Coturnix japonica: one gene and its partner. The protein of the gene in region 2 interacts with the protein of the main gene of each other region in a biochemical or structural test. Links are inferred from orthologs where the notes say so. Each region holds a gene or a part of one and is shown on either strand. Other genes may lie near its edges. The genes, in order: MAP1LC3A and ATG7.

The links.
Region 1: the proteins of ATG7 (region 2) and MAP1LC3A form a complex in vitro, tested with the Homo sapiens proteins (2 studies listed by BioGRID, with this or other methods). The link is inferred for Coturnix japonica from reciprocal best matches to the Homo sapiens genes ATG7 and MAP1LC3A.

What each region holds. Positions count from the first base shown.
Region 1 is NC_029535.1:1,283,134-1,287,728, forward strand, and holds the start of MAP1LC3A (microtubule-associated proteins 1A/1B light chain 3A), read right to left. Parts: upstream 2,917-4,595; 5' UTR 2,829-2,916; coding exon 2,789-2,828; intron 1-2,788. UniProt on the Homo sapiens protein: Ubiquitin-like modifier involved in formation of autophagosomal vacuoles (autophagosomes). While LC3s are involved in elongation of the phagophore membrane, the GABARAP/GATE-16 subfamily is essential for a later stage in autophagosome maturation.
Region 2 is NC_029527.1:2,870,694-2,874,928, reverse strand, and holds the start of ATG7 (ubiquitin-like modifier-activating enzyme ATG7), read right to left. Parts: upstream 2,973-4,235; 5' UTR 2,852-2,972; intron 2,768-2,851; exon of another isoform or gene 2,748-2,767; intron 2,232-2,747; exon of another isoform or gene 2,205-2,231; 5' UTR 2,193-2,204; coding exon 2,015-2,192; intron 1,784-2,014; coding exon 1,729-1,783; intron 1,096-1,728; coding exon 978-1,095; intron 1-977. UniProt on the Homo sapiens protein: E1-like activating enzyme involved in the 2 ubiquitin-like systems required for cytoplasm to vacuole transport (Cvt) and autophagy.

The DNA of each region.
Region 1 (4,595 bases), on a different chromosome or scaffold from region 2:
CCTTGCCATGGGCAGGGCTGCCAACCATTTGATAAGGTTGCCCAGGGCCCCATCCATGGCTGTAGGCACCTCCAGGAACAGAAAACCCCCAGCTCTGAGCAGCAGTGCCAGGGCTGCACTGCCCTCTCAGTGAAAATCTTCCCCTTGACATCTAATCTGAATCTTCCCTCTAGTTTAAAGCTGTTTCCCCTCGTTCTATCACCATCTACATGTGTAAAAAGTTGATTTTCCTCCTGTTTATAATCTCCCTTTAAACATTGCAAGGCTGCAATGAGGTCTCCCCGCAGCTTTCCCTCCTTCAGGCAGAACACTCCCAGCTCCCTCAGCCAGACTCCATAGCAGAGATGCTCCAGCCCTCTGAGCACCTTTGTGTCCTCCTCTGGACCTCCTGCAGCAGCTCCACGTCCTTCCTGTGCCAGCAGCCCCAGGGCTGGATGCAAAACCAAGGTGGGGTCTCACAGGAGCTGATCACAGGGGGACAATCCCCTTCCTCACCCTGCTGCCACCTGGTGAAGGCCACTCTTCAGTTCTATGTGCTGCTCTTACCGACTGCTGCCTTTTCCACATGAGAAGTGCACTGCCAGAACTGAAGGCACAGAAAACTGCACCTGGGATGGGAGCATCCAGCCCAAAGATGCACCTTTCACAGGAAGCAGCGCAGGGTCAGCAGGTTGCACACATGGCTGCAGCCAGGACAGCCTGCTCCTCTGACACAGAGCACAGCTTCACTCTGGGAATTGGTCTGGACTCCTACCATGGATCTGACTAAGCAGAACGCAGCTCCCTCAGCATTCACAGGCAGGTTTGCACGTGGCAGCTGAGGGGCTCCATCAGATCTCACCCCCAGCCCAAAGATACAGCCACAGCCACAGCGGGGAGCACAACCCCAGCAGAGCCCCCTCTGATGTGCATCAGACACCAGGGGGACGCCGCATGCCCCAGCGTTGGACTTAAGTCCTCAACAGCATCACACTGAGCTCCATAAAATGTATTCAGAACAGACCTGAGACAAAGCAGATGGGCAAACAGAAGAAACCCCATAGAAAAACAAACCTCAACACTACAAGAAGGGGGAAAATGGGCACAAAGCACAGCAGAGCGTCAGCACGGGGCAGCGGGCCAAGGCCTCACCGAGCCACGTGCCGTGACACCGGAGCCTTGGGCGGCTCTTGTAAACAGCCACACTCTGACTCTGCCTGTTCTGTTCTTTTGGAGCCGTTCCACTTCTCTCCAGCTCTGCGGCCTTACAAACAGCGCCGTTCTGAGGGTGCAGTGTCACTGGAAATATTTTCCATCGTCCGTCTCCAGCGGCACTGTCAACAATCGCTTCCTGCTCCCGTTGTGCAACGAGCTGAAGACGAAAACAAGCGCTGTTTACTTTCTCCAGCGGAGCGATCCCAGCCCCGACCCAAAGCAGCCGAGCGGGCGCCGGGCCGCCTCCTCTTCCTCCTCGTCCCGCTGAGCTCTGCACATCAGCCGGGAGCCAAAGGGCACAGGACGGCGCAGACACCCGCGGTCACACAGCACCCGACTCCGTCTCCCCCCCTTTCCCTCCTGCGCTATTTCAGTCCCGCTCTCCTTCGGTCACTCCGAGCCTCGACTTTTGTTTTCCTCCAGCCTGAGCAACGTGCAAAGGCAAAGCCGGCTCCTCCCGCCCGCGATGCCGGCTGCCACGGCGGAGCAGCGGGCAGAGATACGGGCGGCACTCGGGATTCTGCTGCTTTTAATAGAAAACTCCAGCCAAGCGCCGTGTGGCCGCGGGGTTCGGCCGGCAAAGGTCAGGGGGAGCAGCAGCTGCCGCTCTGCCGGGCAAGGCACGACGCGGCGCCCCGTGCGGTAACACTGACCCGTACGGTAACATCGCCCCGTGCGGTAACACTGCCCCGTACGGTAACACTGCCCGTACGGTAACACTGCCCCGTACGGTAACACTGCCCCGTACGGTAACACTGCCCCGTACGGTAACACTGCCCCGTACGGTAACACTGACCCGTACGGTAACACTGACCCGTACGGTAACACTGCCCCGTACGGTAACACTGCCCGTACGGTAACACTGCCCCGTACGGTAACATTGCCCCGTACGGTAACACCGACCCGTACGGTCACATCGCCCCGTACGGTCACATCGCCCCGTACGGTCACATCGCCCACCGCCCACATTCAGCACAACGATGTTTCCACGCGAGCGCGGAACCCGCCGGGCCCGGCAGCACAGGGTGCGGAGCGCGGGGTCCTCGGCACAGCGACCCCCAGCCGGGCGGGGGCACCGGGCGGTGCGCGAAGGTTCGGCCGCCCACCCGCAGCCGAAGGGGCTCAGCCCGCCGCCACAGCGGGGCGAAGGGGTCGCGGCTCCGGGCGGTGCCACAATAAGAAACGGGGGGTGGGGGGGGACCGCCGCGCTACGCGGGTGCGTTCGGGCTGCGGGAGGAGGACAAGGAGCCCGAGGGCCGCCGGTACAACCCGGTACAGCCCCGTACAGCCCGGTACAGCCCGGTACAGCCCCGTACAGCCCGGTACAGCCCGGTACAGCCCCGTACAGCCCGGCACAGCCCGGTACAGCTCCGTACAGCCCCGCACAGCTCCGTACAGCTCCGTACAGCTCCGCACAGCCCCGTACAGCTCCGTACAGCCCCGTACAGCCCCGCACAGCCCCGTACAGCCCCGCACAGCCCGGTATAGCCCGGCCGGAGGGCACCGCCCGCCCCGCGGCACCGCGCGGCCCCATCCTCGCCCCCCGATCGCTGCGCACGCAGCTCCCGCGCACATCGCCCCGCCGTCCGCTCACCGAAGGTGCGGCGCTGCTTGAAGGGCCGTTCCGAGGGCATGGCGGTGGTGTTGGCGGCGGCGGCGGCGGCCGGGCCGGGTCGCAGGTGCCGGCGGCGGCTCCGTGTGGCGGCTGCGGCGGAGCGGGCGGTGACGTCACCGGGGCGGGCGGAGGGCCGTGACGTGTCACGTGACGTGTCCGTGGGGCGGTGCCGCCCGGTGCGATGAGCGCCGAGTCATCGATCCCGTTTTCAATCGCGGCCTTTCGGGCCCCGCTCACACCCCAAGAGCCGCTTTCCCCTCCCGCAGCACATCGCTGAGCGCTGCTCCGTGCGCACCTGAGCCGCTCCCCCAGCCCGGGCTGCCCAGGGCCGGGGCCGCACCGCCTGCGGGTGTAGGATTCCCTCCGCTCATCCGACCTGAATCTTCCCTGTTCTAGTTAAAGCCGCCCCCGTCCCCCGCTCTGCCCATGTACTCAGTCCCCGTCCCCTCCTCTTACTGCCCCGCACGCCCCGGAGCAGCCCGTCTCCCCCCGCTGCACACACAGCCCGCATACCTTGCAGAGCAAATCACGGCTACAAATAGAGCGGGCTATTTCTAGAGCCGTGAACGAATCAAACCCAGCTGCAAACGGTGACGGTGTTTTGCAGAGAGCCACACTGCATGTCCCCGTGAAGGCACGCTGCAATGAGCGCTGTGCTCCAAAACAACCCCCCATGGTGGGCAGACATTGAGTACATCCCTGCTTCAAAGGGACAGAAAGGCTCCCACTGCATCTTTTAAAAGTGCTCTGATGATCAAAAGGGTCCTGGCCATCCAAAAATGCAGAAGGGAAAGAAGTTGCGGTACTGACTGAGATAAGGCAGATGGACTGACATTGCAGACTGCAGGCTCACTGAATTTGTTACTGTTGTTAAGCACTAACCCACTTTTGACGAGGAACAGGTAGACAGACCAACCCAGCAGCAGCAAGCAGCCCTATAGCAACCCACGATCAACAGCCAGCTTTACAATGCCAGCATTCCAGCAGGGTGAGCACTGCTGGTAATGAGCACCCTGCATGTTTGTGACAGCTTGGAGCCTCCCCGAGGAATGCTGTTGTGCTGCTGAAGTAGTGTATTACTGTCAACACAGACCTGATGACGCTCAGACTCCTGCAGTGTTGGTGCTGTCAGAGCTCAGTGCCCTGCAGCCCCCGCACACCACAGCTCTGCATGCAGCCTGTGCAGGTCGGGGCACTCTGCTAACACACAGCCAGCTTGGCCTGCTGTAGGCCTTGCTTTCATTCCCTACAGACATAGCAATGCACAGCAAAAGCTTTAAGACAAGGTAAATAAAGCTCCTGTGTGTGAAAGGAGTGCTGCTCAGCCATCTCAGGCAGACAAATAGCTGCTGCCCATAGCAGCTGAAAGACGTGTCTGAAGATGAACAGATGTTTCCACAAGTCTATCTTTTGCGATCTCTTAAGTGCTGTCACCTCCATTCCTCTGCCACGGCCTTATCTCAGCTGGACAAAGAGATCTTGGGCTACAAGTGCTGCTGCTTGCAGCCCTGAGCCATACTTCAAACCCCCCTCATCAGCCTCTTAATGCATCAGGGTTTGTTTGCTCTGACTTCGCAGCAGGTGTTTCCTTTGCCTTCAGAAAGGGATCAATTTCTCAAAGACAGAAAGTGAGGCCATTCTCCAGTTGTAACACAAAGCAGCTCAAAGCCACAGAGCACAAATGCTTTTCAAGCCCATCTCTGAGTTACTGTTCTCTGCTTTCAGGCTATGAAAAAGAGCTCAGAGCCAAAATGCTTATTCACCTGTCTTCTTCAATTTGCTGTCA
Region 2 (4,235 bases):
TCATTTACTGGAAGTACTATGCCACAACAGGCCTCGAAAGAAGATACACATGAAAACCCTGTTACCTACAGACAGCAGGCAGCCAATAAAGCTAACTGAAGGAATCAAACACTGGTCAAAGTGTAAGATCTCAAAAATAAAAAGGCTGCCTTTGTTAGACTTGCCTTTCTCCCTAAACCATGACATTTAAATTAGTTGGTTACAGTACAAGCAGATAAGCCCCTTCCTTTGGCTGCCACTTTTCTCTTGCTTTATCTCAAATTTCTGTTTCCCATCACTTTGTCACATGGATAGATGGACTGCAGTAATTCAGTTTAAAATAAACACTTCCTGATTTCTGGATGTTGTATCAAATTATAAACATGATCTATAGGATGCAAGTCACTGGCAGCTCCAGTAACCACTGAATTTAAAACATGGCTTTGTAGCACCCTGAAAAAAAAGATCCCCAAGCATAATCATCAACTTGCTAATCTCTTGCAAAGAGCAATAAAAAAGCAAATATTAAACTTCCCTCACCATAATAAGTTAAATAAAACTGTATGGGCGAGTTTGGGCAGTCACTAATATTTGGATCAGAGACTATAAAACAATCTGCTGGCTATTTTCAAACCATCTCTTTAAAAGTGATCAAACAGATCAGCACAGTGGAATACTGATACAGCAGGTGTAATGACAAAGGGACCAGCATGAATAGCAATGCATTACAAAGGAAAAGTGCTCACCCATCTCTGAAGATCTGGGCTCACAAGGAAAGGATCTCCAACCAGAGATTCTTGCCCATGGGCAGTCAGCCGTTCAACAAGGTCTTAAATAGGTGCAGCCAGGCTCCACCTGGCTCTTCCTATCACACAGCTGAATTGCCTTCACCTGTGCTCCCAGGGCTGATCAGATCCTTTCCCCAGGTGCTCAATTAGTGGTTCAGGCCATGACTGAACAGTTACCATTCAACCAGCTGATTTGATTTTAAACCTTACCTCATTTGCTTCTTTTTCCAAAAGTGATTTTTTATCACAGGACTTGAAAGTCTCAAAAGTGTTGGTATTATGCAACGTTCCAAAAGCAGGACAGCAACGTGCTGGTATTGAAGCATTCCTGAATTAAGAAAAAAACAAGAGAACACTGGGAATTGTGTACTAACATCTTCAACAGGATCAGTACTAGCAGCAATTGCTCTCCTATGGGGTAAAATTGTCCAGAAACTGAAAAACAATGAGGCATAGTAATAGAAGCTAGTGAGAGCTATCCTGAAAACATGATCATACTGCTTTATTAAAAAATTTCAGTCAAAGGTTAAATACTACTTTCAAAAATATTGCAACGTAACAACCAGAGGTTGTAAAAGCTATTTTGAGATCTTCATTCTAAGGAAGAATATTTAGTTTATAAAGATATTAAGAAAGCTTTAATCAGAAATAATAACTGAAATAATTATTTATACAAAAGAGCCTATGAAATGTGAGAAAAGAGTATTATATAAACACATATAAACAGTAAGTGAAACTGAGACTTGTCAGTGTATTTTAAGCTTGGCCCTTCAGATGAATACGCTGCTTCAAAAACAGGTTAGTACTGAGTCACAAAACACTCACTGCAGTTATAAAGTTCATGAGAATGTGAATTGATCTTTCACAGATTTTTTCCAAGTGATACTCTCTCACCAAGTTACTGTTATGCAAGGAAAGTTTCTCCATATATAAATTAAGGTAAACCATAATACATACTTACATATCAAAAGCACTAAATTCCAACGTCAAACGAGCTGGGAAACCTGATGGATCGCCTGGCCAAAAAACAAAAAGCAACATGCATCTTTTAAACTACAATACATGTATTCTAAAATTAGAGAAACTAATCTAGGGTTATAAGACACCCACAGACACACCAGAATTCCCATCTCATTCAGCAGCGCTCCTAATCCTAGCAATGTTTCAGCAAAATACCTGAAACATGTTAAATGAATATTTAGAGGAACAAGCCAAAGTGCAAAGAAAGATGTTCAGTTTCTACCTACCATTGTAGTAGTATCCTTTGATAACTTTTGGAGTCTCATCTAGTCGGTACTCATTGAGCTTCTTCTGGGTTAGTTCATGCCAGAACCCTACGTTCAAGGCACTACTGAAGGGAGCAAACTGCAGCTTCGAACTTCCAGGATCCACAGCATGGTGGGGCTCATTACTGACTGCTGCCATGATTGTAGTTCACTATTAAACACACAAGCAAAGAGAATTCTATAAAAGCAGATGAGCTGTATAAGTACACACCCCAATGACCACATTATACATAACTACTTAAAGTTTCTTTTAAATACGTCTTGTTATGTGAAGTACAGAAAACCTCATTCCTCTGAAAATTTAAGGAACTTAATGCAATGAAAACACTTTTCACGGATTTTCTACGAGATTTTGGATAGGTTTGTTTTCCATCAATGACAAATATAAGGTTCTGTCACAATGTCTTGCTTTAACTGGCACACATGATATTACATCCTGCTTAACTTCACTTTATTTTTCCTTCCTTTTTAATTTTTAATAACAGGAATCTGCAGTATCATAATTTTTTTCCACAGCTTAAAAACACCTTGTATCACTTCTACCAACATAAAGAAACCTCTCCTTATTTCTAGGGATCACAGCAGTGTTGGGATGGAAGTGACCTCGCAGCCCCCATCTGTGGGCTGGCTGCCCCCAGCTCAGACTGCTCAGGGCCCGTCCAGAGCCTGGGGCAGCTCCAGGGATGGCACTCACAGCTCTGGGCAGCACAGCCAGCACCGCACAGCCCCGCAATGGGGACACCACCACAGCAGACGCCCTTCATGCCCCTCAGCCCCCGACCGCCCACGGCCGCTCACCGGCTCCACCGCGCAGCACTTCCGCCATTGCCGGCTGACGTGACGCGGTCACTTGACCGAGGAGGGCGGGAAGGGGAGTGCACTCACACGCCCGTCCTTTGGCTCCGCCTGAGGAGAGGGAACGTCAGTCAGCGCATTGCCCCCTTGTGGTTCTTTTCTGTGCCGTCCTGAGTGAAGTACACTCATCTTACGGCATTACTCGCGAAGTAATGAGGACTAAAAACCAGCCTCTCCTTCTCTGTGGTTGTGGCTGCTAGATCGAACCTGCGCGAGGATGCTCTGCGTTGAGTATGGTGCTATAGCAAAGTGTTATAGGTTGATCAAGCATGTTTAGTGAGCTAAAACTCTGCGGGTGATCATATAAATGCACGGTGGCTGAATGCTGGAGACATTCCTATCTTTATGTCAGCAAATGTCCTCGGCCTGTTTATGCTTCCCCATGACACTTGGTACCACAGCTGCTGCCAATATATGCAGTCCCTAACACAATATTTCTTTACCTTCAGTGTGACCTGGCATGAGAAGTAATCTGAACAAGACGTGGATTTAATGGGCGGTCAGCAGGATGTTTTAAAACCCAGCTTTTGGGCACAGAAAGCCATGCTCAACAGGTGAAAAAAAAACAAAAAACAAAAAAACAGCCACCAGCACGTTATGGGAGTTTTCCAAGCAGGCTGAGACCTGTGCTGGTAATGTTTAATACCCCTATCACCGGGCTGGATGAGGGAACCCTGCTCAGACCTCTGGATGACACCACAGCAGCTGAAATGGGCAGGACTGTGCTCCATAAGGAGCCTCAACACCCGGCTGTGTCTGAGAGGAGCCTCACCAAGGCCAGCAAAGCCACATCAAATGGGAAAGCTGTACCTGGAAGACACCCTGCACGTCACCTGCTGCATCACTGTAGGCTGGGGACTCCCTGGATGGCAGCTCTGCAGGGGTTAAATAATATGAGAATGAAACATAGACCAAATGGCACAATCCACTTCCAAACTGCAGCCCTTCTTTAATAAACTTGCAAGCTATATCATACTCAATACAGGATCCCACAATTCTTCTCATTTCCCACTAGATGTCCTTATTGGCACAAAGAAACATGGAAGGGTGAGTACACTTTTCTGCTTCTTAAAGTTGGCTGCTCTAACCACATCCTCAACAAAGTCGAATTTCAGTCCAAGAAATTCATTATGTTCACTTAAAAGTGTGAGTCCTCTGACCTTGTTTATTAACTGGGAAATGTTGAACATGTTTGCAGGAAACCACGCCTGAGGGCTTGGCCCCACATGGCAGTAGGTTTCTTCATTCCTTACCCTGATTTGCTATTCTCTGCTTCTTAGTAGAAGAAACCGATAAATCCTGCCACGTACTTTGCTAACTGGAAGCT